Linked DNA regions of Pelodiscus sinensis. The protein of the gene in region 2 interacts with the protein of the main gene of each other region in a biochemical or structural test. Links are inferred from orthologs where the notes say so. Each region holds a gene or a part of one and is shown on either strand. Other genes may lie near its edges.

The links.
Region 1: the proteins of UBE2M (region 2) and SMURF1 form a complex in vitro, tested with the Homo sapiens proteins (2 studies listed by BioGRID). The link is inferred for Pelodiscus sinensis from reciprocal best matches to the Homo sapiens genes UBE2M and SMURF1.
Region 3: the proteins of UBE2M (region 2) and DCUN1D4 form a complex in vitro, tested with the Homo sapiens proteins (3 studies listed by BioGRID). The link is inferred for Pelodiscus sinensis from reciprocal best matches to the Homo sapiens genes UBE2M and DCUN1D4.
Region 4: the proteins of UBE2M (region 2) and DCUN1D3 form a complex in vitro, tested with the Homo sapiens proteins (4 studies listed by BioGRID and IntAct). The link is inferred for Pelodiscus sinensis from reciprocal best matches to the Homo sapiens genes UBE2M and DCUN1D3.

The regions. Positions count from the first base shown.
Region 1 is NC_134726.1:31,801,285-31,808,961, forward strand, and holds the start of SMURF1 (E3 ubiquitin-protein ligase SMURF1), read right to left. Parts: upstream 3,022-7,677; 5' UTR 2,870-3,021; coding exon 2,815-2,869; intron 1-2,814. UniProt on the Homo sapiens protein: E3 ubiquitin-protein ligase that acts as a negative regulator of BMP signaling pathway. Mediates ubiquitination and degradation of SMAD1 and SMAD5, 2 receptor-regulated SMADs specific for the BMP pathway.
Region 2 is NW_027465849.1:2,663,813-2,671,312, forward strand, and holds the start of UBE2M (NEDD8-conjugating enzyme Ubc12), read right to left. Parts: upstream 3,012-7,500; 5' UTR 2,774-3,011; coding exon 2,665-2,773; intron 1-2,664.
Region 3 is NC_134715.1:86,848,800-86,855,650, forward strand, and holds the start of DCUN1D4 (DCN1-like protein 4), read right to left. Parts: upstream 3,009-6,851; 5' UTR 2,843-3,008; coding exon 2,818-2,842; intron 2,783-2,817; exon of another isoform or gene 2,266-2,782; intron 1-2,265. UniProt on the Homo sapiens protein: Contributes to the neddylation of all cullins by transferring NEDD8 from N-terminally acetylated NEDD8-conjugating E2s enzyme to different cullin C-terminal domain-RBX complexes which are necessary for the activation of cullin-RING E3 ubiquitin ligases (CRLs).
Region 4 is NC_134726.1:22,096,607-22,103,678, reverse strand, and holds the start of DCUN1D3 (DCN1-like protein 3), read left to right. Parts: upstream 1-4,050; 5' UTR 4,051-4,164; intron 4,165-4,200; exon of another isoform or gene 4,201-5,068; intron 5,069-7,072. UniProt on the Homo sapiens protein: Contributes to the neddylation of all cullins by transferring NEDD8 from N-terminally acetylated NEDD8-conjugating E2s enzyme to different cullin C-terminal domain-RBX complexes and may play a role in the cell cycle progression by regulating the SCF ubiquitin E3 ligase complex, after UV damage.

The DNA.
Region 1 (7,677 bases), on a different chromosome or scaffold from region 2:
GTTGATGTAAAACAAAACAGTAGTTCATAATCATAGGAAAACAAATTGCAAGTCACAAAGCAACATGATGTAAACAGATGTCCTTTTTGTTTTGATTCAGCTCAAGTATCTCAACAACAAAGTAGAATATAGTAACAAAAGGCATAATAGCTATAGTTATAGTTATTCAAATCTGATGCATCCACAAACAAGTTTCAAATGAAACAAGTAGTAACATGTTTGTTAATAGTACTGAAGAGACAAAGCTCCAAAAGTAATTTTTAGAATAAAACCCACACATTTTAACCCACTGTCTGGGTTATTTATTAATAAAACTGAAAGTATTATTGACCAGGTGGGAAATTCCCTCCATATAGTTTAAAGGGTTTTACACTCAAACAAGTCACAGAAGTTATTCTATTAACAAAACATGTAGCATCCCTCCAAATGCTTTGAATTATGAAGGTCAATTCATGCAAGTTACAAGCTACTTGATACAGTATTTGTTTAAAAAATGCAAAATTCATAATATCTGCTCAGAATAATTTTTACTGAGATTATGGACAGTATTGTGTGTCTTACACAACAATCCTCAGCTCCTTCTGAAATCAATAGAAATATTCCACATTTGTTTTTAGAAACAATCATTAATAAATCTGTGAGCATGTATTTATCATATACACATATAAAACTATCAAATACTTATGTATTTTAAACATTTTAAACTTTTCTTTAGTTTCATGAAAGCTTATTTTATCTTTCTTAAAAAACTCACAAAGCCTAAATTCTAAACTACTAGGAGAGGAGATCCAAAAAAACCCCTAAACTATATATATTTCCCCTCTGAAACATATATTTGATCACCCTGTTTCCTAGAATTATTATTTGAGATCAGCTAGCTCTGCACTAGGGACATACATGGGTAACCAGTTACCCAGTAAGAATTATCCTTTGGAATGCAGTAATTATTGGGTGATGCTGGCCAGTAACCCGTTAACTGGTGCCTAGCTGAGCTGGAGTGGGTCTGGCTGGGCCCACTGTGCTGTGGGGCTAGGAGCCAGTTACTCCATGGTTAACCGTGTAACCAATAGAATTTTGATCTGTCACACATTTTGTGGGGGTTTTTTTTTTCATCTTTTTACATCCCCTCTCTGCACTTTATAAAAGAAAATGAGTTTTAATGCTGGCTGACTGCAGGTTTTTATGATTGATTGCATTGTAACTAAGAACCAAATTAGGTTTATCATTAAAATTTACCTAGTGCTATATTCTTATCAATCTATGATATTTTATATCCCAGCAAAAAAAATTATGTTAAATTCATGCAGTACAATAGCATTATGGTTGTTTCAGTCTAAGAGAGCCTATAGTGGATACACCTGTTGCCTTTCACAACCTGGACTAGACCTTATTCATCAGTAGGTCATGATGTAATTTTAGAAATAGAAATCACATATTTCTCTTAAAGAAAAGATGCCAATGCCTTTATAAAATATTTAATTCAGCTCCTTAAGGGTATAACAATATTTAACGTGTAAGGGTATAATATACCCACCACATCTTGTGACCAAACAAATTTTAAAGTGCACTATGTGATTTACTTAAGGAAAGCACATTAGATGACAGTGCCTGAAAGAGATCAAACAGGTAGTTGATTTATTTCCTTATGTATATTTTCCAGCAAGTGAACCTTGCCATTGCAGAAAAAAGCAAATTCATTATTAATCAGGGCTAACAAAATATAAACTATTAAGACAGGGACAGATTTACCACTAGAAAAACTGACATGCAGAAAACATAAATTCTCTAAATAGATCTAGCAAAACCAGACTTTTTTAAGGGGGGAGCGGAGAGGAAAGATGCTATGAACGGGCAGGACATTTGGAGACTGCCAAAGAGGGATACTCCCTAGCAGGAGCTGTCCATTGCCCTATGGCATGCATACACCAGGACACTCATATGCATGGGTTAAGGGACCAATAACGTGCAAATGCAAAACACAATGGGAGACACGTAAAGCTGATTTAAGAAAAATGCCAAAAAAGCAGTTCAGTGGTGTCTGGACTTCTGACTTCATGTACCACCCATTTGACAACCCCAACTGGGAAAAAAAAACAACAGGAACAGGAGAAAGAAGCTTAAGAAATACAAATGCTAGATTGTGGGGTAAGGAAATCTGCAGGAGGAAGTGGTGAGAATTGAAGGACGATTGCTAAGAAACAGGGTCTGGATAGAAATAAAGCGGAAGAGAAAAAGGAAAGAAAAATTCTCAACTTTACCCAGCTCTCTCTAACTCAGCCCCTAGAATTACTGTGGATTTCAACAAGCTGCAGCCTCCTCAAAAACGACACCACAGAGATAAAAGCCTTTAACCCAGCCGCAATGTTTCCCCCTGGGGGAAGGCAGAAGACCCTCTACAGCCTCGCGCCCCCAGGACCTCGGTCCCAGCTGCAGCCCGAGAAGAGAATCACCTTGGCGGAGCCTCCCATGGGCTGCGGAGTTGGGAGCCCCCACCGAGCCCCCAAACACTCTCCCCGCCCCCCCACTAGGGAAGGGAGACAAACCCAGCCCCCCCCTCGGGCTCTGATCCCCATCTCCTTCCGGGCCCCCGCCCCCAGGAGCGCCGACCCTTGGCCAGCCCCCCAGATCCTACGCCCCCCCCCCCCGCCCCTGCGCTCCCCACCGGTCCCGCGCACCCCGCAGGGGGCGGGGGGCCTGGCCCCTCTCTCGTGCCCACCCAGCCCCTCTCTGCCGTGCGCAGCGCCTCAACCCCCCCCCCCCCCCCCGCCCAGGCGTGGGCGCGCGCGGGGGGAAAGCCCCGCCCCCCTCCGCTACCTGTGAGCCGGATTTTGATGCTGGAGCCGTTTCTTCGGGTCCCTGGATTCGACATCGCTCCCCGCGAAGAAGGGCGGGGGGGAGGGGAGAGAAATCAGCCGCCCTCCACAGTCACCCCCATCCGGGCCCTGCCCCTCCCCGCCCCGGCCTGGGCTGCCCCGCTCCTGCCGCCGCCCCACACAGCGGCCCCGCCACAGCGTCTCAGCCGCCGCCGCTCGCGAGCTCGACGCCCAGCCCGACCCGGACGAGGACTGCGCGCACGCGCCGCCCCCAACCGCAGGCTCGCGCCTCCCTGCGCGAGAAGACGGCGTGACGCAAAGCGCGGCGGCCTGAGTCCGCCGCCATCTTGGGGAGGTCGCCGGGCGGCGCCCGGCCCGGGACGGGCAGCGCCCCCTCGCGGAGGGCATGAATAGTGCAGCCAGAGGCGAGCAGGTTGGTTCTTCCCCGGGATGAAACTTCAGGGTGGCCACAGGGAAACTGAGGCCTGCGCTGCGCCCTGCCCGCTGTGGCTGCGCAGCAAGTGCCCCATCCTCCTGTCCCCGGCCCTGCACCCCCATGGTCACACATCATGGGTCCTCTGGCATTGAGCCACATTGTACTGTTCATGGCATTGTCACCTGGGACTGAGTCGCTGGACTCCATGTGTCCCTCCCTCCATTGCCTAGGGCTTAGTTTGAGGTAGGGCTCAGTGGTTAGAGCAGGGACTATGTAAAGCAAAGGCTATGGGTTCAATGTTCACTGGGCCCCCTGTAGTCATCTTTAGCTGGGCTTGTTGTCCTTCAGTGAAGAGGTGCTTGGCTGTTACCTCTGATATAGATCGTTTAATAGGCAGCTGGTATAAAACAAGCGAAAGGGAGTATTTTTAAGGGTGAATTGCTGGCCTACAGGTATGATTCTTGCTTCCTCACCATGGATCATCACCTTGTAGTGGTGGAGATGCTTGCATGTTCCAGTGACCCCCCGAAAGTGACCCTGCCTGGAGTCATGTACTCCCTTAGGATCACCCATGACAGAAAGAACAAGGTTCCAGACAACATGTGAGCCAAGATGTCTTCAACGGCAGAGGTGACGGAGGATAACTGCACAATGGAGTTGAAACTGTTGTGTAATGTTACAGCGGCTGGGTAGGTGGATGAAGGCAGCAGCAGATAGAAGACCTCCAAAAGGTGGTCTCCGTGCCATTGTTTTCAAGACCTCTCCCTGTCAAGGAAAGTGTGATGACTGTTGTGCACCAGTCTCCCCACTTTAAAAAAAAGTCCCACACTGGCATCTTCCAGTTTGTGGGAAAACAACACCTGCACCAAGTCAAAAGTCCAGTGGCGATCAGCGAATGGCGATCAGAACAGGACAGTGAGATCCAGAAGTTCCTAGTCACAGATCGACACACAGGCGGTGGGTGTGCGACTCTGTCCTCTTGCTCGAGGACAGAGGCAAGTTGAGCATTTTGGCAGCTGCACCTATGACTGAGCAGTCCTCTTTAAGACTCATTCTGCTCACCCCACATAGGGAGAGGGCTAGAAAAGTGCACTAAAAATAGTCTTGCCTTTTTCCCTCCTGACTGGATAGCTGCAGGATTACCACTCTAGTGGTCAAAAATATAAGAAACTTTTCAATTTTGGAACCCTGGTGGACAACTCAGACAGTGCACCGACTAGAGCAACATACAGCTATCATTGCTTGTGAATTTAATCCGTTTAACATCGATATTGCTGCCTTTTCCAAAATTATAAGAGCTGGTGAAGGACAGGCGAGGGAGGAGAAAGAATACATCTACTTCTGGAGGGAAAATATTTAGCTGAACCTCAATTGCATGGAGTAGGCTTTGCTATAAAAACCAAGCTTGTAAGATGCATCTCTGAGCTGCCAGTAGGCATCAATGAGGAGCTTATGACAGTCTAACTGAGGGCTCACCAAAAACCAACAGGTAACTATTGTGAGCACCTATGTTTCAACAATGGATGCTGATGAGGATGTAAAGGAAGATTTCTACTCTCAACAGGAAACATTTTATCAGAGACCCCCTAAAGAAGGTAAGATCATTCTCCCAGGGGATTTTAATGCACATGTTGGACGAGACTCAGACCTGTGGAAAGGAACAACCGGGAAAGAAGTTGGCAAAAAGAACTCAAATGGAATCCTGCTCCTGACCAAGTGTGCAGAACACGAATTTATCATCACAAATATCCTTTTTTGACAAAAGGACAAGTTCAAAACAGTTTGGAGACACCCACATTCAAAGCTCTGGCATTTTCTGAACTATGTCTTACTTTGTGCTCAGGATCACAGTAACGTACTTCTCACAAGAGCAATGACAAATGCTAATGACTGCTGAACTGATCATCGCCTCATTTGATCCACAATGAAAATTAAGATCGTCCCCAAACAGAGACTGCAAAAGAAGCAGATGAGGCACAAGCTGAAGATTCAAGATCTGAAGGACCCCATTAAGCGTGACCACTTCCAAGCAGTCTAAGAAGAAAAGCTTCCATCAGAGTTTCTGAAAGAAACTGAGGAACATTAGAGCCAGCTGAAAGCAGCAATCATCAATAGCTGTGCAGAAACCATAGGCAACCACACCAGACAGCATCAGGACTGGTTTGATGAGAATGATGTTGAAATCGAGCAACTCATCAATGAGAAGAGAATGATATAAATTGCAGTTCAAGAGAGAAGCCCATGCTAAGATGAGGGAGGAAGTCCAATGTAAAATCAGAGACCTCAAGAACAAATGGCGGACTGAGAAAATGCAAGAATTCCAACATACACGTGGTTTCTTTACACTGAGGGTATGTCTACACTACCCTCCTAGTTCGAACTAGGAGGGTAATGTATGCATACCGCACTTGCTAATGAAGCCCGGGATTTGAATTTCCCGGGCTTCATTAGCATAAGCGGGGAGCCGCCATTTTTAAATCCCCGCTGCTTCGAACCCCGTGTAGCGCGGCTACACGGGGCTCGAACTAGGTAGTTCGGACTAGGGTGCCTATTCCGAACTACCGGTACACCTCGTTTCATGAGGAGTACCGGTAGTTCGGAATAGGACCCTAGTCCGAACTACCTAGTTCGAGCCCCGTGTAGCCGCGCTACACGGGGTTCGAAGCAGCGGGGATTTAAAAATGGCGGCTCCCCGCTTATGCTAATGAAGCCCGGGAAATTCAAATCCCGGGCTTCATTAGCAAGTGCGGTATGCATACATTACCCCGCTAGTTCGAACTAGCGGGGTAGTGTAGACATACCCTAAGGCTGTTTATGGGCCAGCTTGTCATGACATGAATCCCCTTCTCTTTAAGAATGGAACCGCACTTTTGCAGGACAATGAAGTCATTAATTTTCATTGGAAAGAACATTTTGAAGATCTTCTTAATCGTAACTCCATGGTTTCAGATCAAGTTCTTGAGCAAATCCCCCAACTACGTTCTAGGAATGAGCTCAGAGACCCTCCCAGTTTGTATGAGGTATATAATGCCATCAAGCAAATGAAGAACAACAAGGCAGCAGGTGCAGATGGCTGATCCCTGCCGAAATCTTTAAAGACAGTGGACCAGAGTTAATTCGGCATCTTAGCCAGCTTATCCTTAAAATCTGGATAAAAGAAGTGATATCCAGTGAAATGAGTGATGCCTTGATTGTTACCCTCTTTAAGAAAGGGAATAGTATGCACTGTGGAAACTCTTGTGGTATCTTTCTCCTTGCTGTTGCAGGCAAAATTCTGGCATGGGTCCTTGCAACCTGTCAGAAGAAATTTTATCAGAGTCATAGAGTGGTTTCTGACTGAGTCGCAGAACTGCAGATATAATCTTCATTGCATGGCAGCTGCAAAAAAAGTATTGGAAGCAAAACATTGCTTTTATTGCTCTTACTAAAGCCTTTGACTCAGTGATTCGCCATGCGTTTTGGACTGTACTTTCAAAGACTGGATGTCCTGATAAATACATCCATGTTCTAAAGTTTCTTCGTAAAAGTGACTGTTCTAAGCAGCACTGGCTCCCAGAGTGAATCTTTCAAAGTACAAACAGGAGTCAAACAGGTCTTTATTGCTGTCATTTTTTCCTAATTGCTGGGAAGCTCCCAGCTGCCATTAAAATCATCTACAGAATTGATGAAAAGCTGTTTAGGCTTAGCAGGCTGAAAAAAAGAGTAAAATTGCCACCACGTCTATTGTGGAACTTCAGTATGCTGATGACCAGGGCTCAAGAAACTGCTGATTCTACTTGCCCTGTGGTGAGTAAATTTCAACTGGTTGCTCTGTGCGCCCCATTTACTGACACCGCACGCACGCGCAGTGAGGGGCTGGCAAGTAGCTCTCGCCGTGGTTTGTCAAGCCCTGCTGATGACAATGCAGTTTTTGCCCCCTCTGAGAAAGATCTCCGCTATCTTGAGCATGTTTGCTGATGCTTATGCATGTCTTGGTCTTGCCTTCAACATCAAGAAGACCAAAGTGCTCCATCAGCCCTCTTCAAATGAGGTACCCTCTGCCCTATCTATTAAAATCAATGGAGAGGCACTGGAGAATGTTGATCATTTTCTCTGCCTTGGAAGTTATCTTTCATTCAAGGAAGATATTGGTGTAGAAATTCAACATCGTCTGAGCTATGCCAGTGTAGCCTTTGCTCATTTATGGCACAGGGTTTTTGAAGATCACGATATTCAAACAAGACACCAAACTTCTTGTCTATCAAGCCATCATTTTGCCAACACTATGGTATGGGTCAAAAACCTGGACAAGGTACACTTGTAAGTCCTTAAGAGGTATCACCAATGCTGCCTCTACAAGAGCTTGAAGATCAAATGGGAAAACAGGTGCACTAACATCAGTGTTCTGTAAGAGGCAAAGACTACCTGTATCAAAACAATGATCATCCG
Region 2 (7,500 bases):
GATGGGAGAAGGAATACTCCCTGGAGATATGGGAATGAGGGAGGGGCCGGCCAGTGGGGCAGGACTCTAGATGGCAGTACACTTAAGACAAGCAGGGGTCTCCTGGCGCTCCACAGTGCGGGAGCCTGAAAGCATGAGTGGGAGGGGGGTCTCCTGAAGTTTCTCCAGCAGGGAGCCCCCCAATCTGCAGGGGGTGTCTCCTGGAGTTTCCCCAATGGGAGGGGGCGTCAATTTCTATAGGTGTGTCTTGGAGAGGCTGTATGAACCTTCAGTGGGGAAGGGTGCAGGTCCCGTTGGGGAAGACCTCCATGGGGGGTGGCACCCAGGAGGGAAGTGGAGCTAAAGCCCTAGTGAGGGTGAATGAGCAGGAAGCCCCTGAAGGGGAGGAAAAATGCCCCATTCCTGCAGGGGCATCTCAAGTACCTGTGTGGGGAAGGGGGGCTCAAAGGGATTCTCTAAAGGGCAGGAGAACATGGGGGTCTGCATCAACAAAGAGGGAACTTCCCGACTGCACTCCCCCCATTGGGAGGGGTCTGTGGGGTCCAAGTGGGGGCATCCTCCCAGTGAATGGGAGGCGTCTCTTCCCACCAATGCAGACTGTGGGCACAGAGCGGAGGAAGGAGGCTGGCATCTGCCTGGGCCAGGTGGTGCCTTATCGCAAAGGTGGGGGCTCCATGGGTCGCCCCAGGCTTTGAGCAGCTGGTAATTTTCAGAGAGGGGCTTCCCTTGAGTCTCGGCAGGTCTCGGTCCTAGCACTACGCACAGGCAGCACCGATCGGGGGTTAGCTGGTTATACTGTTCCGAGCCCATCCTGGTCACACCAGAGGATGGTTCTGGGTGGATGGTGCTGGAGGAACGTGGACCAGGTGGCACCAGTGAACTGGATTTACACAACAGTGGGACTGGGTGGCACCACACTGGGTGGATAGAGAATTTGGGCCAGATGGGGAGGGGCAAAACACTGCAACTTGTGGTACCAAGATTTGGGCCTCAGCAGACAGCACCAGGCAGGGTCAGAGCATCTGGGTTGGCCCAGCTACCAATGAGGTTCTGATCTGGGCCATACCAAAATGGGGTGGGGATCTAGGCCGGGCAGTACCAATGAGGGTCTGATCTCTGTGGTACCAGGGTGGCAGGGATGTAGGCTGGGCTGTACCCATAAGGATCTCGGTGGTACTGGAGTGGGATCTGGTCTGGGCGGTACCATTATGGGAAGGGATCTAGGCCCAGGGTCTGGTCTGGGTGGCACTGAGCTGGGGAGGATCGATGCCGGACGGTACCAATCAGGGTCTGGTCAGTACCAGAGTGCAGAGGGTCTCAGCTGGGTGATACCAATCAACATTTGGACCAGGTCAGCCAATACCAGACTAGGAGAGAGGGGCCTGGGCTAGACCAATGGTACCAGGAGATCGAGACCAGCATCTGGACTGGGCCGAGGAAAGGGGGGAACTTAGGTGAGGCCAGTAGGCGGAAGGGGGCGGGCCAGGCGGTACCAGGCAGTGGGGCAAGGGGCTAAGCCAGGGAGTACCAGGCTGGGAAGCATCTGGGGATGGTATCGGGCACAGGCGGGGGTTAGACTGAAGAGGGGAGAGGGTCGGGCTGGGTGGTGCCAGGCTGGGGAGGGTTAGGGCAGGAGGTACCAGGCCGGCGTGGGGGAAGGCGCTAAGCGGAGCGGCACCAGGCCTGGCCAGGGGATTGGGCCAGAGGAGGCGGAAGGTACCAGACCAGGGGGAGGAGTTGGGCCAGGCCAGAGGAGCGGGATTGGGAAGTGCCGGGCCAGTGGCAAAGGAGTGGGCCGGTACCGGGCTGGGGGGGGGGAACCCGAGCAGTACCGAGCCAGGGGGGGAGGGGCGATACCAGACTGGGGGAGTACCGAGGTGGGAAGGGCTGGGCGGTACCGGTCTGGTGGGGGGGGGGGCCGATACTGGGCCGGGGGAGGGTACTGAGGGAGGAGGAGCTGTGCGATACCGGGCCAGGGGGGTACCATGGGGGGAGGGGCTGGGCAGTACCGGTCTGGGGGGGGACGGACGGACGGAGGGTACCGAGGGGGGAGGGGCCGGGCAGTACCGGGCCGGTGGGGAGGGGCGATACCGGTCCGGGGGGTACCGAGGGGGGAGGGGCCGGGCAGTACCGGGCCGGTGGGGAGGGGCGATACCGGTCCGGGGGGTACCGAGGGGGGAGGGGCCGGGCGGTACCGGGCGGGGAGGAGCGGTACCGGTCCAGTGAGGGGGGGAGGGGCGGGCGGTACCAGGCCGGTGGGGGGAGGTTCGGGGAGGGGGGGGGCCGGGGGGAGGGGCGGTACCGGGCCGGTGGGGGGAGGTTCCCGGGGGGGAGGGGCGGTACCGGGCCGGTGGGGGGAGGTTCCCGGGGGGGAGGGGCGGTACCGGGCCGGTGGGGGGGAGGTTCCGGGGGGGAGGGGCGGTACCGGGCCGGTGGGGGGGAGGTTCCGGGGGGGGAGGGGCGGTACCGGGCCGGGGGGGGAGGTTCCGGGGGGGGAGGGGCGGTACCGGGCCGGGGGGGGTGGTTCCGGGGGGGGAGGGGCGGTACCGGGCAGGGGGGGGGTCGGGGGGGCGGGGCGGTACCGGGCGGGGGGGGGTCGGGGGCGGCGGGGGGGGGGCGGTACCGGGCCGGGGGGGGGCCGGGGGGGGGTTGGGGGGGCGGTACCTTTCTGGATGCGGAGCTGCGCGGCCGACGCCTTCTTGCTGCTGCCCTTGGTGCCGCCGGCCGACTCCTCCTCCTTCTTCTGCTGCTTGAGCGAGAACAGCTTGATCATCCTGCCGGGCGGCCGGGCCGAGGGGCCGGGCCCGGGGGCGGGGCTCGGCGCGGCCTGTGCGGGTCCCGGCGCCGGGCCGGGTCAGTCGCTCGCTGCGGCCGGGCCCGGGGGAAGCGGAGCGGGGCCGCCCAGGCTGCTGCCGCTGCGGGTGCGCGTCGGCAACGGCCGGCCCGCTCGGCTCCTTCCGGAAGGGATTCGGCCCTTTCCGGAAGCGCTTCGGCGGCGCCCCTCGCCGGCGGATTGGACCGCGCCGCTTTCCGTCCCGGCGCGTGGCCCCGCCCGCTCCCAGCCTCGGCCCTTTCCGCCGCACGCTCGGCATGTGACGTCAGACGTCCGCTGCCGCCCAGCCAGGGCTCGGCCCTTTCCGCCCAGCGCTCGGCTCGTGGCGTCACGCCGCTCGGCCCCGCCCACCCAGCGCTCGGCTCTTTCCGCCCGACGCTCGCCTCCTTGGTGCGGGAAAGACCAAGCGTTCCAAAGGACTGGGGGAGGGTCGGGTATGGCGCAGGGCGGAAGTCCACCGGCCGCCATCTTTACTGAGGGCAGAATGACTTCCGGCCTGTGGTTTGGAAGGGTTGTCAGCGCCTCTGGGAGAGGAATTTGTAAGATTCCCCCTCCCCAGGGCCCACACATGCCTCAGCCCCAGGTTGCTGGACATACACCCCCATAGCTTCTGTCTTGGGGGGGAGACTGGGCTCTTCTGCCCACCATACCACCAAGGCCGAGGTCAAAGGTCACCGAACTCACGCCAACTGGCCAGACCCACGTGACTGCCTGGTGTCACATTCTGGTGGCATTGTCAATTAGAATGGAACAGCATTATCTCCATGGTGACCAGACGTCCCCCGTTCTTAAAGGGACAGTCCCTTTAACTCCCCTTCTAAGTGCCCCAACTTCTCGTTAAAAATGGGCATATTTTCTGTCTCCTCCTCATTACTGGCCAATATTCCCTCTAATTTTTTCCATCCACGTGCAGAATAAATTTTGTTACGTGCACCAAGGCTCCTTCTGGTGCAAAAGCCTCTTCTGCAAAAATGGTGGCTCATTAGCTATGCAAATGAGGCTCCACAATATTCCATGCTTAGCCTCATTTGCATATTACTCATGCAAGACGCCGCTAGTGTAGACATAGCCCTCGTATTTTAACAGTTTGTAAAGTGTTAAGTTTTTGACTCTCAGCCTCTACTGATGTTATATAATTGTCTGACCCCCCACCCCACCATTATTTCCTGCAACTCTGAACATTTAAAGAAATACAAATCTATAACCAGTTTAAAAGAAATATGGATCTTTAGCGAAACTGTCACAAAAATAAACAAATGGTCAAAGCCCCCACTAGTAGCTCATCTTGCATGCCACCTCTTAGGCCACCGATCCATAAGGATTTAAGACCAGTTGCTTCCGAGTTGTTAGTGACTCAGAAAGAAGTTTTGCTGTTTATCAAATTCCTTCCCCCTTGTAATCCTTCTTCCATAACCACTGCTTTTTAACATGCCACTCACTAGAATCCTCCCGCCAGGTTCCAGTGTCCAGCTGGTGAGGCGCAGAATTTCTGGTTTATTTCTGGGTCTGTTTTTTGTTGCTCTAGAGCAATGTCTCTTCAACTTTTTGAGACCACGGAACACCAAACAATAGTATTTTGTATGCACATTTTCTTCAAAAAAAAATGGTTGTCAGACAAAAAAAAGACAAACACAAAGAAGTAACAAAAACAAAGAAGAGGTGGCGGTACACCTGTGAGTTATTCACAAAATACCAGTGTTCCAGGGAACATAGTTTAAGAAACACTGATCTAGAGGGGTCTCCTACCTTTTTAAGCATGAGAGCACTTTTTGAATTTAAGTGCAATCCAGGATCCACCTCAAACCCAAACACTCTTGCCCCGCCTCCTTCCTGCCCCTTCTCCAAGGTCCTGCCCCTGCCCACTCCATCCTCCCTCCCTCTCTTTTATCAGGCTGGGGTGCAAGGGTGTGGTCTCTGATCTTGGGCTAACGGATTTGGAGTGTAGGGGGGGTTCTGAGCTGAGCCTGGGGCAGGGAGTTGGGGTGCAGGATATGGGAGGGAGTTTGGGTCCAAGGGGACTCAGGGCTAGGGCAGAGGTTTGGGGTGCAGGAGGGGTTCAGGACTGGGCCCAAGGTTTGGAATGCAGACTCCAGCTGGGCACCGCTTACCACAGGTGGCTGCTGGGTGGTGGCGCAGGGGCCTAAGGGTGGTTCACCCCTCCCCTGGCCCTGCACCATTCCCAAAAGCAGCCAGCAAACTCTCTCCATCCCTGCCCCCCTGTGCTCTGTGGAGATGTTGACATCAGCATCCCCCCTCCTCTTCTTCTTGTGCCTTGCACAGCAAGCAAGAGGCTCCCAAGCCTGTGGGGAAGCCCCAAGGCAGAGAGCAGGAGCAGCACAGATGCCAGCACTTAACAGCCTCCCAACCAAACCTGTCAGGATCACTTGTCAAAGGCTCCAAGATCTACCAGTAGATCCCGATCTACTGGTTGGTGACCACTGATCTAGAGCACTGGATAAGTCAGACACTTGGGTGCACCCCAGAGAGGTGCATCTCCCCTGCCCTGGTTTTCCTGAAAGTGGTTAGCTGAGACAGCATCTGATTTGGTTTTAGGCTGTTTGACCCCTTGGATTGTTTTTCTTCATTTAACTCAAATGCCAGAGCCACATTAGGGAGAAAAGATATCTCGGTTGATTGTTCTTTGTAAAGCTGTAATCTCCAGATCCCCAGGCTCCTTGGCTGAAGGACTAAGAAAATATTTGCTTCTGTGGTTTTTCCAGGGAAGGCTTCAAGCAAAGCAAGGAAGAAAATACCCGACTACCCTGATATTCCCTGTGTAAAAAACAGTTGCTCACTGTGGTAACTATTGTTTTTTGAGATACGTTGCTTGTATCCAGTGGTTTTTTGTTGTTTTTTTTTTGTAAGAAAAAAGATGCTGGTCCTCTAGGCTTAAAGTTGTTGAGCAAAAAAAAAAAACGCACCGGGGCCAAAATGTGGTTTATCTCTGGCGTTTCCTTCTCCCATCCCAATCTGATCTCCCAGCCAGTCTGCTCAGCTCTCCCTCACTGGGGCCCTGATCTCCAGTCTCAGGCACGGTCCAAGGTATCCCATTCCTGGCCCCTTGAGTGCGCCCCCGTTCAGCCTGATTCCTCTGCTGTGTGGCCCCCATGTTCCAGCTCCCTTGTGACTTGCAGGGACCGGCTACATCGAGGCCAGCATCAGGGTCTCCCGTTGTGGCAACCCCCGCAAGCAGGCGTGTGCATCGAGGGAGGGCAATCTTGCACAGTGACACCCATGGGGGATTCTAAACTGGGTGCTGTGTCTCCCCCATGCCTTATGCAAACTGGCTTATGAATACAAATATGCATCACTCTAAGACACTTTAGACAAAATGTCACGTGTCAACTACCCATTTTAATGTTACAATCCCTGGAGTGTATTTATCCTGTTTTGGTGCATGTATCGTTCTTGTCTGTGAAGTCAGGCTCTGTTTATAATGCTAATGAGGCCATTACTGATGCCCCAGAAATTTTAATTGTGATCAAATCAACGACCTATGAATAGTCTTAAAACATAAGAATGGCCATACTTGGTCACACCAATCATCCATCTAGCCCCAGATTCTGTCTTCTGACAGTGGCCAATGCCAGGTGCCCCAGAGGGAATGAACAGAAGAGGAAACCCTCAAGTGATCCCTCCCCTGTCACCCGTTCCCAGGGTCTGACAAACAGAGGCCAGGGACACGATTCCTACCCATCCTGGCTAATAAGCACTGATGGACCTATCCTCCATGAATTTATCTAGTGCTTTTTTGAACCCTGATGAAGTCTTGGCCTTCAAAACATCCTCCAGCAAGGAGTTCCACAGGTTGACTATGTGTTTTGTGAAGAAATACTTCCTTTTGTTTGACTTGTTTGTCCTGTAAGTCCAAACCTCGGTTGGTCCTAGAAAGCTCTGAAAAGCTGTAGAAGACCCAAGCCAGGTAAACACCAACTCCAACTTGAAGCTCTTTACTTGAGATAAGAACAACTGTTTAAGGTAAAAAATTGCATGTAACAAGTTCCTTAGCAAGTTTCTTACTAGCTAACCAGTTTTTGTCCATTTTAATTTAGTAATGTACTTTGATCTATTTTCACTTGCAACCACTTAAAGCCTATTTTTTTATACTTAACAAAAACACTTGTTAATTACCAAGCTCAATGTAACTAATTGTTACCTGGAGGGAAGCAACCACTGTGCATCTCTCTCTTTCATTGATAAAAAAGGCTGATCTTATGAGCTTTCTCTGTATAAAACCTGTACAAAATCAGACAGATCTTTTTGGGGGGGAGGGATTGGCCCCTTTTGCAAGTTGGTTTTCTGGGAGGTGAGCCCTTACAACTGAGCACTCCTGAATTCTGTGCCTGTCTTGCTCTGCAGGGCAGGTGGTAACCCCAACTTTGTTCCTTGCCTAGGGAAGACCAGAATTTCTGGCTCAGCACAACAGGGTGGTGGAGAGCCCCAGAGGCCAGGAAGGTGGGTGTCAGTGTGTCACAGTTTAATTCCCCAACCAGGCACTTTGAGTGTAGATAATGGGGGCTGGCTAGTAAAATAAAACCACTGTCAGATCCTGACTCTGCAGTTCCCAGAGACAAAAAGAGTCTTCCTGATTTCAGTTTCCCCTGAAATCCATTCTGTATTGCCAGCACCAAGTGGCCAAATCTTTTTCCAGGGAAGAAATTGCTTGG
Region 3 (6,851 bases), on a different chromosome or scaffold from region 2:
GTGATGACAAATTTGGCTTGGGCAGGTCAATTAGTCACGATCATCCGTGATGTAAACAAAACCAAAAATCTACAGAACCAAGATAGGGAGAAACAATATATAGTGTTTACAAAATGCCCTTCAGCAATTATGACAATCAGGGTCAAAAAGCAAAAGAACCTGCAATATATTTGGCATGTTTCTAAAAGAAACAGGTTACAGTCAAAGTCACTGAGCAACTCAGTGCATAAAAACCAACCAAAAAGGCTGAATGGATTTTAAAACATAGCAAAATTATGTGAATTTATTAAATTTCCAACTTTTAATGTTCAGCTTTAAATCTGAACCAATTTCCTGCAAACGTGGCTTAAGTTTCAGTTCTCACTGAAAATTTAATCTATCCAAATGCAAACAATAGCTGAGAGCATTACCCACATGCACTTGCCTGAAATACAAACAGGTTTATTTCAAGTGGGCTTCCAATAAAAAGTCATGTCTGGGTTTAAATAGATCAGAAAATTTAAGGACTAAATGAATTAGCGTGACAAAACTGAGTAAATGAGAAATACCATACACGAAGCTAGAACAGAATCATAACCATGGCACACATTTCTGATTTACTATCAATCAACAGTACAATACATTAGTAATAGAAAAAAAACAAAATTTTGGAATGCTTACCTGGGTGTGTGAGACAACTCTACATGAACTCTCTTTAATAGCCATCAAGTTGGAAGTATTGCATAAAACTTGATAAACAGATTAACTGCCATATCTATTGTTTATACTTAAACTATGTAACCAACTGATATTCCCTTTTTTTTTAATTCCCCCCCCCTTCATGTTTACTCTTATTTACAATCTTGATCAGAACCAGATCTCACTGTTTTATATTACAGAGGGCAAGCCTACCATGCAAAATTAAGCTGATCTAAGTTAATGTACAGCAACCACAGTAATTATTGTATATACTTGTTTGGAAGCCAACTTTTTTTGGTGTGTCAAAGACTTCCAACACCAGATTGATTCTTGACTGATTGGTAACAATCTGGAGTTAGGAAATCCACCATATAGGTTGCTATGACAAGCACGTAGAATCATTAATCGCATCCTGATACAAAGGACTGTATGATGGACATAGATAGTTTTGCAGCAATGGGGTTTCTCAACTACAGTAGGGTAATAGCTGGCATGCATATTCTTATTTTGGCACCAGACCACCTTGCCACAGAAGTACATTAACAAGGCTACTCCTGAAAGCACTGGTGGATGTTTTACTAAGATCAACACAGGCTACTTAGGGAAGATGCATGATGCACACATCTTTTAGAACACAGGCCTGTTAAGAAAGCTACAAGCAGGGACTCTTTTTCCTGACCAGATTATTACCACTGGGGACACTGACATGTGATCCTAGGAGACTCAGCCTAGCCCTTACTCCCATGGCTCATGGAGCCATACACTGTCCACTGGGGCCATCTTCCACAGGCAGTAGTGATTTGAACTGCTCTCTCACTCCCAGGGGTAACAGAGGATGAAGAGGAACTGCTCCTGAATGTCTTCAGCGGCAGATCAAGCCCATATGCTATTAACCTATGTGGAAGAATAGTTTCTGCTGGAGTAATTGCAAAGAGGCATGGGAAAGTGTCCTATAGAGGTGGAAGAAGCAAGGCAGTCCTCCTTAGGGGACTGAAGAATACCTCCAAGCAAGTTGCCTTGAGATCTCTTTGGCAGATTCATGGGATAACCCAGTGCACAGAAAAATGGTTCTTCAGGAGCCCCCTCTTCCTAACTCTACATGGGAGTAAGAAACAGATAGGGTCCTATCAATTGGTTATTTCACTATCAGCTTCACAGCCATGCAATATACACCATGGACCATGAAATCTGGCCTTCTGTGTGCTTTCACCACATACTATACATATTTCATGGGGGACAGTAGTGGTATGGTCATGCCTAGCTGTGCTCTGCAACCCTGCTTCCCCCCCCCCACCTGTATGGGCAAACCAAAGCCCTGCCTGCACTTGGCACCCCTGTACTCTACTACCCCAGGGAGCGTCGCCCCTCAGGGGCAAACCCCAATCAACACTCCCCCTTCCCGCAAAGGGCAGCACGCTGGTCACACGCTGCCCTCCTGCCTCCTACCCCAACAGAGCTATTTCTTCCCGAGATAACTCTGCCCTGGTCTCCCACATCCCTGCGGGGAACACGTCCCTGGCGGCGCTCCCCGCGCAAGGTGCCTAGACCGACCCCCGAGCGGAGCCCCAGGCGGCAACTCGCACTTACCCAAGCTGGGAGAGAGGGCAGCGAGTTGGAGCGCGTTGCACGCCGGGAGTTGTAGTCCCCGCCGGCGCTGAGCCCATCAGCGTTGTGCAGCAGGAGAGACTCCCGCTCCCACAATGCACCGGGCTCGTTCCCCTTCGCAGCCCCTTTCTCCCGCACCGGGCTGACACGAAACCCGTTAAGTTACCCGAGGGGGAACGTGCCGCAAGGCGGCGCGCGCTGGGCTCTCCACCCCACACACCTGGGTCCAGAGAGGGACCCTGCGGGGCCGGCGCCGGACTCGAGGCTCCTGTGCGCGACTGGAGAAACTGCGTCACAGGCTCTGTCAGCGCCCGCGGCACCCGCGGGGTCCCCACTAACCTCCCCGGCCGATCCCGCTGCGGCTCCGGGGTGCAGGGCGCCCCGCCAGATATCCCCGCAAATGCCCCCACAGGCCCCACGCCGCCCTCGTCCCGCAGGCTTCCCGCCTCGGGCACCGGGCAGAGCCCCTAGGACGGGCTGCGGGAGACCCCTGAGCCTGCTCGCGGCGGGAAGCCCGGCCCAGCCGCTACTCACTGACAGCGGCGGCATCCGAGTGCATTTTCGTGCAGCGCACACACCGCCCGGCCGGGCTCCCTCTGTCTCTGTCTCCCAATCACAGAGCCAAGGCACGAGCCCTCCTGCCCCGCCCACACGTGCACGCCATTGGCTCGGGCTCGCGTGACTAACGCCCGCCTCACTGCGCCATTAGGGCACGCGCCCGTCATTCTTCCTCTGCCGGGCCCACACTGCTCGGCCCGCCTACCTCCTTCCTCTTATTGGTTAAAGGTCTCAACGAGCACCGCCTCCCCGACATATTGATTCGGTCTTGCTTACGTCTATTATTCCAGGCTCTGAAAGCGCGTGCAAAGAACACTACTTTGTGTCTCCCGGGAAGCTTATTGGTCCTGAAGGGTTGGACCACGCCCATGGCCTGTTTTGATTGGTTAACGAGAACGGAGTTCTGACTAGCGGCTCTCAGTGGGTGGGGCTGGAGCAATGGGGCGGGGTAGGCGGGCGGGGGATGTGGAGTGGGCCACGGAGCTTTTCACACCTAGCCTGGCCCCGCGGGGCGCTGCGCGCAGATTTTTTGCGAGAGGTTGTTGAGAACCGATCTCCCTGCAGCCCAGGGAAAGGCTGCAAGGGAAGAACAGGCTTTCATTGTAGCTGCAGAGGCAAAGGATGGGCTGGGACAGCAGAACTTGCTGGGATGACCACATGGCCCCTTTTAAAAGTCCCAGCTTTTTTTCTCAAAGGGAGATGTTTGTCCTTTTTCTCTCAATGGCGTGCTGAGCTAGTGAGAGCAAACAGGATAAATACCCACTTTTGTTTAAAAAAAAGTGGCAAAGTGGGGTTTAGAGGAACATGGGGAAGGTGCCAGTTCCGATTCAGGGGGGAGGTACAGCTGGGAAGACAGTGGTTCAGCATGGGGGAAGGCCATAGTTCCAGAAAAGGCAACAGTTTCCTGAGGGCGGGATCCTCAAATTCCCCCCACAGGCAGGATTCCATGACACCCTCAGGAGGGGAGAAGGGAGTGCTTCTCAAGAACAGCTGGGGAGGCCTGTTTTCTCTTTTGGAAATATGGTCAACCTAGAACTAGCTGATGCTTCAAAAAGTTACTACTTGTGACATGAGAGTAAATTTATCATAGACCAAACACTCAACAACTTGATATTTAGCAATTGGGAAAAAAAAATAATGAAGAACAATAGAGGGCAGAAGCTATAATTGAGAACAGAATGAAGGCTTTAACACTCAATTAAAGTTTTATGTCCGATAATTCCAAAAAAGAACTGCAAAGAACAATTCCACTGCCTGAGAAAAAAGCAAGAAGACAGGACCAGTGCAGGGGAAGGTTGTTCATTTGTTATTCTTGACTTTGCATCCATACAGCAGGCATGCTCAAGAATGGCATATAAACTTAGGAGGCAAGACCCCACTATGAAGTCCTGTCTTGGGCTAGATGAGGTGAGTTATTGTACATATGTCTGATAGAAATCTGTCCTTTCCACTCTGGCAATACTTATTGTCATACCAATAAAGTATCTGGAAATAAATGAAGAGCCAGAGCATGACTGGTCCCAACACAAGAGTGATGAGTTTTATCTAAAGTAAGTGTCTGGTGGATAGAACAGTAGCTATACTACTGCCAGCAAGATTGCTAGTTATAATATCAGAGACACATAACACTAAATGGACCTGAAGACTGAACAACCCGCACATCTGCAAGCCAGAGCTGACTTTTGGTCAAATAGCACATTAAGCAAGCCAAATTTTCAGATGTAAAATAAAATTTGAAGTACTGCAATAAATGTATCTCCTTGAATTATTTAGCCACATCTGTAATCCTAGTAATCTATAGGTCAACATTATTAAAGAGACCATCTTTAATCTACACTCCTGAGCAGTGCAGTTATATCCAGCAAATCCTTTATGTACCCAGCACTAGGAAGGTGGAGGTAAGTGTCTTTGATAAACTGCAGTGGTCTATATGTACACAAGTCCATATGAGATAGAAGATTCTAGATAGGGCCAGTTCTACAAATTGAACTGCGTAGTTCCCTTGGGTGTCATCTGCAGGAGATGCTATCCTGTTAGTCTCTGCTTTTTAGAGGGAGAAGAGACATTCCTGCTTGAAGAACTTCCTGTATACAATATTTCCTTATATAATACAATTGTAGCTTTTTTGTTGACAGTGGGTTGTTTTGGATTAGTTTTCTTTTGTGTGTGTGTGTGTGTGTGTGTTTTTATAATAAATCTAATAGTAAAAATGAGTCCTATGGTATCTTGACCTTAATAGATTTATTTGGGCTTAAGCTTTTGTGAGCAAAAATCCACTTGGTCAGATGCATGGATATGGTTTTTGTCCACTAAAGCTTATGCCCAAATAAAACTGTTAAGATACCACAGGATTCCTCATTGTTTTTGCGGATACAGACTTAGCCCTGGCCTACACTAGGGAGTTATTTTGAAATAACCTCCCTCCCCATCTTTCAAAATAATAAGTGGAGCATCCACACTACCAACCCTGTTATTTTGAAATAACAGGCTGGTTATTTTGAAATCTGTGCTCCTACTTTCCTTGGGAATAAGCTTATTTGGAAATAGTTATTTCAGGAGTTATTTCAAATTTAGTTATTTTGAAATAATTTCCCAGTGTAGGCATGCCCTAACATGGCTAGCCCTCTGGTACTCTAACACAATAAGTATATGAAATATGTCAGGGAAGGAAGTCCTTGGGTTACAGCAGGAGTGGGCAAAAGAGCCTCCACGGGCCAGATCTGACCCGCCAACCGGGTGGATCCAGCCCGCGGGACTTTGCTGCTCCCCCGCCCCCAGGCCAATTAGAGCCTTGGAATGGGGGAGCTCACGAAGCCTCTTCCTGTCCTACTAGGAGCGCACAGCGCTTTGAAGCACTGTGCGCTGTTCGCAGGGCATGAGGGAAAGCAGAGGAGGCTTTGCACGCTCCCCCGCCCCCAGGTCCTAATTGGCCTAGAGGCAGAGGAGCAAGAGAAGTCTCCTCCCACGCCAGGGGCATGGGCACCTTGGGGGAACGTGGGGTAGGGGCAAAGGCACTCTCTCACCACCAGACCAATAATTGTCTGGGGGTGGGGAACACAGAAATATCTTGGCCCCGTCCCTTCCACTCAATGCCCTACCCCTTCCGCTCAATGCCCTGCCCCTTCCTGTGCAGCCCAGGGCCACTTCAAAAATTTCCAAAGTGGCCCCCGGCAAAAAATTATTGCCCGCTTCTGGGCTAGAGGAATGCCTTTCATTTGTCTCATGAAACATCATTCAGATTTAGTTGACTTATAAACTGTCAAAAATCTCAATTTTCCTTTTCCTGATGTATTCTGTGAGAAAATTCTGGCAGCTTACCAAAATGATACCCTCACCACAACCCCCAAACATGCTAAAAAATCAGGCAAATTGCAAAGCAGGCATAAGTAGTGTATCAGGAATACCTGAAAACCGACAAAACAGCCAGGATTGCTCTTCCATTCTTCTAACTAAATTCCAACACATGGATCTAGAAGTATATTCCTGCCATCCCAAGGGCAACATATAGGGAAGGAGTTTCCCATTTCTAGGCATGGAGGAGGGGAGAGAAAGGCAGCCAGCAGTCCAAATGCCTGCCGCCCATCTAAACTCCCAGTACATGATGCAAGTGGCGTAACAGCTTTCTGCTACCAGCTAATGTAGTCAGTCCTGTAGCTCAAGTGGAAGAAGGCAGCCACAATACTGGAGGTTCTGGATGTAAGCGAGCTATGGAGGGAGGGGGAACTGCCTCTACCATAAAAGTATTTGGGTGAAAAATTCTTAGGAAATTAAGAAAAAATCTATGTTACAGAAAAATTAGTTTATAGCAGACACAAAAGGGAGGAAACACCAGATTTCTGATTGACCATGCAATCTTAATTTTGGTCCCTTGTGTATATGCATTATGATATAACCTTTAATTACACAATCATACACTAAGTTTCTCACAAGATCCTCACCTCAGGTGCACACCCTGGCTCACAAAACAGTAGATAAAGTTGCACATGCAATACAGATTAAGTTTTATTTGC
Region 4 (7,072 bases), on a different chromosome or scaffold from region 2:
CCCTCTATTAGAGGCAGCAGCCCCTGTCTGTGGGGCGGTAGGAAGGAGGGGGCAAAGCTCCCCACAAATAGAGGCTGCTGCTGCAGAAGCTTCCCATCCCTCCCTCCCTCATCCCATTAGAGGCAGTAGCGCAGGGCAGGAAGATGGCAACAGCTCCTGCCTCCCTTCCTCTGCCCCACACTGCCTCTGTAGGAGGCAGCAAGGGGGGGACAGGCACATATGTGAAGCAGGCTCACATGGAGAGCTGCTTATAAGCTGACTCCCTGCACATATTGGTTCCTGCCTGCTCCCCTCATCCTCTGTGCTGCTGCCTCTCTATTAGAGGCAGCAGCATGGCAGGGAGGGGAGAGACACTGGCTCCCACCTCCCCTCCTCTCTAATATAGAGGCAGCAGATGGGGGAAATGCATGTAGTCAAACCTGGGCTTCTTGGTTAATCCTGTTATCAGTTAATCGTGTAGTAATCTACACGTTGACATCCCTACTATCAACATATACCTAGGATTTTAAGAAAAGTAGAATTTTAATAAGGGAAAATAGAAACATTACCAATCGATCTCTTCTACATCCTTTTTAACTTGGATGCTCATTAATACTGCACAAACTTGATTAGGTGCTGACACCATATTTGTTTGACAGGGGAATAAAACTCTGTAGGGAACAGTTTAAAACAGCAACTGTGATGCAATCAAATATAATGTTGACACTGAAGTGCAGCATAGCTCCTCTTTCACATCATCAGCTATTTGACTGTTTGCTACTGGCAAGGAGTTCTGAATAGGATACATTATTTGACAATGCCTATTATGAAAATAACTTATTTCAACCACCTATACAATACTATTTCTATCCAGTTTGAATGCAATAGTGTGTTGTACCACTGTAATTCTAATACCATTCTTGGGCTATTGCTCACTACAATGCTTGCATTTTATATCAAGCTTTTTTTATTTTAGAGAACACTGATAACACTTAGCTAACACAGAGCCAGTTTCTCTCCAGCTGGCAAATGTGACATGAAATCATTCACTCAGTTTCACAGCTATCCATAGTAACTAAGTCACTCAAACAAATCCATCCCTGGTGTAAGCATATTGAAATGAAGATCCTGGATTTATATAAGGATTGAACTGGGCTCATAATTTCCATAAGGGTCAACAGCTGCAAAAGCTGGCTCCTGTGAGGTGGTGTCATGAGGAGAGATCAAGGATTCTTGGGATGGCTAAAAAGATGACATTCTCCAATTATATTAAAATCTTAGAATCCAACATTCACTTCCTACGTTCCATCTCACACAAATTAAACAGATTTAGCGCCTCCCCTCCAATTTTTTGCATTATGAACACTGTAGAATAGCTACACTGCAAATGACTGCATCAGTTAGGTATACACAATACATTTAGCTGGCAACTCGCATGGATTTTCACTTTTGAAAGGTCTTACTCCTTCAGCTGTGGATACAATTTTTTGCTTTGTTAACCTCCAAATCTATAGTAAAATTCAAAGCTGCCAAGAATAGTGAAAGACCACTTAGCAAAATAAAGTGAAAATGAAATAAAACCAAAGGCCTAAATCCACCCCTACTGTAATCCCATTTTTTTTTTTATCAATGGTATAACTCTGTTGACTTCAGTGGAGTTACTCCAGAGATGAAATGACCCAAAAGTTTATCACTGTTTCTATCTACAATCATAAATGTGTGCTTTTTCAGTAAAAGTAGCCCAAGAAACCAGTCTGTAATGAAAGTTGGAACAAGGGGAGTTTTGCCTGGTTTCGAATTCTGTTACAGAAGTTTCAGCTTTAAAACAACTGTTAACCCAGTTGGTACTCAACACCTCTGAGCTACTCACACACTCAATGCACTTGGAATTCCCATTGACTTTAGTGGGAATTCTAAGGGGTAAGTGAAGAGAGGGCCACATGCAACATTGAGTCCTCCAAGATCAAACTTTTGTTTCTTTAATTTTCATTTAAGTATTGAGTAAAGTATCGACCAGAAAGTATAATGAATACTGAAAGCAAGAAGACAGTTCAATTTGTAAATCAATGGCTTAGATTTTATCACTGGCTTTCCATATAAGTTCATTCACATGGAAAGAACCAAGAACTGATTCTCCACACATGTGGCAGTAACCACATTGTGACATGGCTTTGATGCAGCATTACATGTGAATAAATGGAAAAGATCTAGTCCATGGCTAATTCTATACAGTAAAATAGTTTTGAGTTTGCTAGCACAGGATTGTGAATGCTTTGCCTAGTTTAAGCAGCACATATGGTCCTGCATCCTAACTTACGTTTTCTAATAATAAGTGAAAGACTGAAGAGTAAAATCCTTATTTGGGCTATTATAAGGGAAGGACTCTTATTGCTTCAAATATTTCTTAACCCTCTCTGGACACTGAAAACATTCAATGACCATAAGCAGTCAAGGCCAATATTGATTTAACTTTGCTACCAATACAAAAAGAGCATAGGCTTGTTTTCTGGACTGTTAATATTTTCCTCCTCTCCTACTCTGTTTGGGTCTTCATGCTCAGAGAAGAGAGTTTTAATGTTGTGTGGCAAATTTAGCCCAGGTAATAAAATCTCAACTTTCTTATACAATAGAGGCATCTACAAATATGATGTTAACATGAAGTATGGATTTTGCACCTTATTTGCTTCTTGGCTCTAAGCCAAATGCAACTGAACACATGAAAAAAAATAATGTAGATTTCCCAACACTGGAACAGTTCCTAAACACAAGAATAGGTATAAATATTAATGCAGTACAGCAAGGCATAGGGCTGTTTTTAACTTTGTGGCTCATTTTAGTAAGTGAGATTCTGTCATGCTCTACCTCCTCTCCCATCCCTCACTGTTGGTTTTCAAAATGTTTCATTCCACATGCAATCACGTGCTCTAGAGACTACTGTTGGCTCATGGCCCACAATAAAAGAGCCACAGCACTTGAGAATGTTTTAAAAGATTAAATATATGCATTCAATTCTAATGTTTCAAAGGGGGAGGGGGATTCCCACTTTCATTTTCACGGAAGAGCAGAGCTGGCCCAAGAACTACTTTCTGGGACCCTGACTGGAAGTATGACTCAGTGGTAGGGCTGCCAGATGGTTTCAACAAAAATACCAGACACGCTTGTCATTGCTTCTTATTTAGAAAATACCGGACATTTACATTTTCTCAATTTGTTTCCCGGAACAGAAAGCTCAAATACTGGACTGTCTGGTTCAAAACCGGACACCTGGCAGCCCTACATGGGTGTAGGTGTATCCAGGCCGGGAAGTTGCCCGCAGGGGATGTGCTGAGGGCCGCAGCCGGGACCAAAGAGGAAAAGGAGGCCCTGTGTAGTGTGGGGACCCTCCAGGGGCAAGCGCCCAGGTTCACAGGGTGGGACCACGAGCCCTGGGCTGGGACGAATCCCCAGGGGGATGTTCGCGGGAAGCCTGCCCGTGGCTGCAGGAGCCCTGCGTTGCCAGGATGGGAGTCTCTAAGCACCGGGTGCTCGCTGCCCCGGGGACCCGCTGGCAGGCGAGGGGCCCGCTCTGCGGTGAGGGGCGCGGCGCGGGACTGCTCGGAGCTCGCGGGGCGGCTGCCCAACTTTCCTGGCTGCGGGGGGGGGGGGGGAACCTGCAGCAGCGAGCAGGGCCGGAGCGAGCCCTTGATGTGACACTTGCAAAGAGGCGGCGCCCAGCCCTGCGCCAGGGCGGCCCCCTCAGCGCCCCCGGACGGTCAGGGCAGCACCGCCACCACCGGCTACTCGCCTACAAGCTGGACTGTACCAATGTGAGAGCCGGGGGAGGTGGCAACACGAGTCCTCCAAATCCCAGTTTAGGTCATCTTTGCATACCAACATCGACCTCTTTCCCCTCTATCTGCCTCTCCCTCTTTACCTTCAGGGCCAAGCGCCCTACAGCCCTCCTCACAGTTTCCCCCCTTTCCTTGCGTAATGGTTCGCTCCAACCTACTCCAGTCGCCACTCAACCCGGTTGGGGGCGGGAGCGGTTTCTTGCCCGCTTTTTCCCTCACTGTACGTGCAGCGTCGGGCACGCCGGGACGCTCTTCTGCGTGACGACGCCTCACGCATCCAGCTGACGCTTCACCCCCGGAAGTGATGCAGAGGAGGGAGGGGGTCGAAGCTGAGTCTGGTTGGGAGCTGCCGAGGGTGAGTGAATTGGACCTTCTCACTTCCCGTCCGTTTCAGGGAGGCTTTGCCTGTGCTGGGCTGTGGGGGGCCAGGAGGGGTAGGGGGGCCGTGTAGGGAGATAATAGGGCTGGGAAAAAGCATCATCCTAAGTGCCCCGGCTCATAAACCAGACTCTCCAGCCCCTGCGTGGGGGGGAGGGTCTTTGCCCCCTGAGGGGGAGGCTGTGGGGTCCCTGCCCCCCGAGAGAGAGAGCGGGAGGAAGCTGCGGGGTCTCTGTGCCGCTTACGGGGTGCTGGTGGGGCGGAGTGTATCCGCATCTCTTAAAGGATGGACCGGGCTGGTGGGGAGGGTCCTATGTCCATCCCTTTGCCGTCTGAGTGGGTGGAGGGTTACAGGGTTCTCTACCCTGAAGCTCCTCTAACAGGTACTCACGCTACTGCCCTGATAACAAGTAGTTCCTCCGCATACCGTACCCCCGCCACGCACCTCTCTCAGCGGTATGGGTGCAGCGGTTTCAGGGTTAGACTTTAAACAGACGCTTCCTCTGGAACTGTTGGAAGTTATCGGAGTCAGCAGTGAAAGAAGAGATCGTGTGGTATTTATGTTAGATAAAGGGTGGGAGGATTTAGTTTTGTGGTGTTGTAATGTAACATTTCACTCCAATGTGCTTTTTCATCTTTTATGTATATGATTCTCCTACTATTTGAGCAGCGTAAAAGAAGCATAGTTCTCTAGCCCCAAGAGGATTACTGATTAAGTCATCGTATCTGTATCTGTGGAAATGATGATATTATGTTGGTAGTTCTATGTTCAAGGATGCTAAAATGTCTTTCTATAAATTATCCACATCATTAATGAACAATAACCAACCACCTAGAGTGAAGGGTGGCTGCCAGCTGGCTCATAAACACACACTAGAAAGGTATTCTTTTAAACATATTTTGCAATCATCTAATGCTAAATGATGTGTGTATATACATCTTCATAGTGTATGTTAGAAAGTACATGTGGGTGAAGTTAGTCTTCTTTTCATTATTTGAAAATGCTGACCTAACCCATGCAGGTTTTTAGTATTCCATATATATCACGTGTGTATTTAAATTAATCATGGAAGCTGCAAATGTGTCCCAATCACTCCTATTGTTTAGGTTATGTAGACACTGTTATAAGTAATATTAATAACAATGTTGGAGTAACTTGTGTAAACGATGTTGAAGCAAACATTAGTTGAAAAGACCGTTTCTTTCCTATTACTATTATTGAAAGGAATACTTTGGGTTTCTTTATATAATATAGCTAAAACTATTAATGCTATGTTTTATAAAACAAATGGGTACCTATGGCAACATAGCTGTTTTGCAGAATATTCTTCTAAATTAATTATTCTCCCTTTAGGGTATGGTGTAAGTTGTAACAAAAGTGAAAATTGCCAATGAGTTACCATATTGCAATACTCGATATTTTGCTCTTAAGTAAGAACTTCAGGTTAAGCCAGTACTATTGAAGAGAATGGTCAGATGAGGAAAATGGTCAGGTGATGTCTATTTTCTAAATATAACTTTCTAGTATCTAGTTTAGAATCTCCATGTTAAACATTTAATACATTGTTAGTAGTTGTTAATATTTGACGTGGGCTAATGTTGAACGTTTGTGCACCTTAACTCTAATAAAGGCTTTGCTGGGTGTCTGATCACTCACTTTCCAGGTACTTAAGAATAGTGGAAGGATGGTCTCTTGGCTAACTCATAGAGCTGAGAGTCATGAGATCTGATCTTGGCTCTGTTTTTGTTTTGTTTTTTTAAACTCAAGTGTACTGTAAGGCTTAAGTAATGGTCTGTGAAGAGCATTTATAATTCTTCAGATGAAAGGCAACATGCAGTAGGCAACTACATATCGGTATCATAGGGGGAAAAGAGTTACAAAGACAGTACAGTTCTTCATTTGTGTTGACAGACACAATCTAATTCCAGTGCAAATAATGTTAGAAACTTGTTGGAAAGTTCAAGTTATGCAGTATTTTTTTATTCTAATAATTTATTCATAGTTAATATTGAGTTAGAGCTCAACCTTCGTAAGTTTGTTTAAAGATGCTGGGATAGTAGGGGTATATGTGTATCAGTAAGGGTATGTCTACGCAGCAGCGTTATTTCAGAATAACTGACATTATTTTGGAATAACAAAGTGTGTCTACACTGCAAGCCATTATTTGAAATAATGGCAAGCTGGAGGACTTCTTATTCCAACTCCTGTAACCCTCATTTTATGAGGAGTAAGGGAAGTTGAAGGAAGAGTGTTCTTCCTTAGACTTCCTGCTGTGTAAACCGTGCCAAAAGCCGATTTAAGTTATTTCGACTTCTGCTACATCAATTGCATAGCTTAAGTTGCATAGCTTAATTCAACTTTAGCCCTGCTGTGTAGATGTACCCTAATATTCCTTGATAGCTCAACTTGATGCTCTTGTGATTCCTTTACTCTTGAGCCTGATAACCTATATGATCTCTAATTTGCCACTAGATCCCAGAAATGGGGGGGTTGGAGGCCTATAGAGTGCAGGTATTTAGCATTAGCTCTTAGTTAAGTGTTATTCCTGATAAACTTGGCTGATGTGTTCAGTCTGTGATAGTAGCAGTAGTTTTTATATCATTGGATTTTTGTATAGATTTTTTTTTTAAACAAATTTTTCTAACAGCACTTTGGTGCTGTGACTTTAAGCACTTAACATGAAGAAGGGCAACAATATCAGTAACAGGGAAAGAGGGTGGTTTCGATAACAAAATCTAGGGCAGCTACTTCTGTAAGCCTGGGAGGGGGAAGAAGATTACTTACTGTCCAAAGGATAGAGGCTGCCAGACTATTTGGCAGGCTGAAATACAAACGACATCCCCACACCTATTCTCACCTCTCTTCTGTATATGTCAGTGAGGGT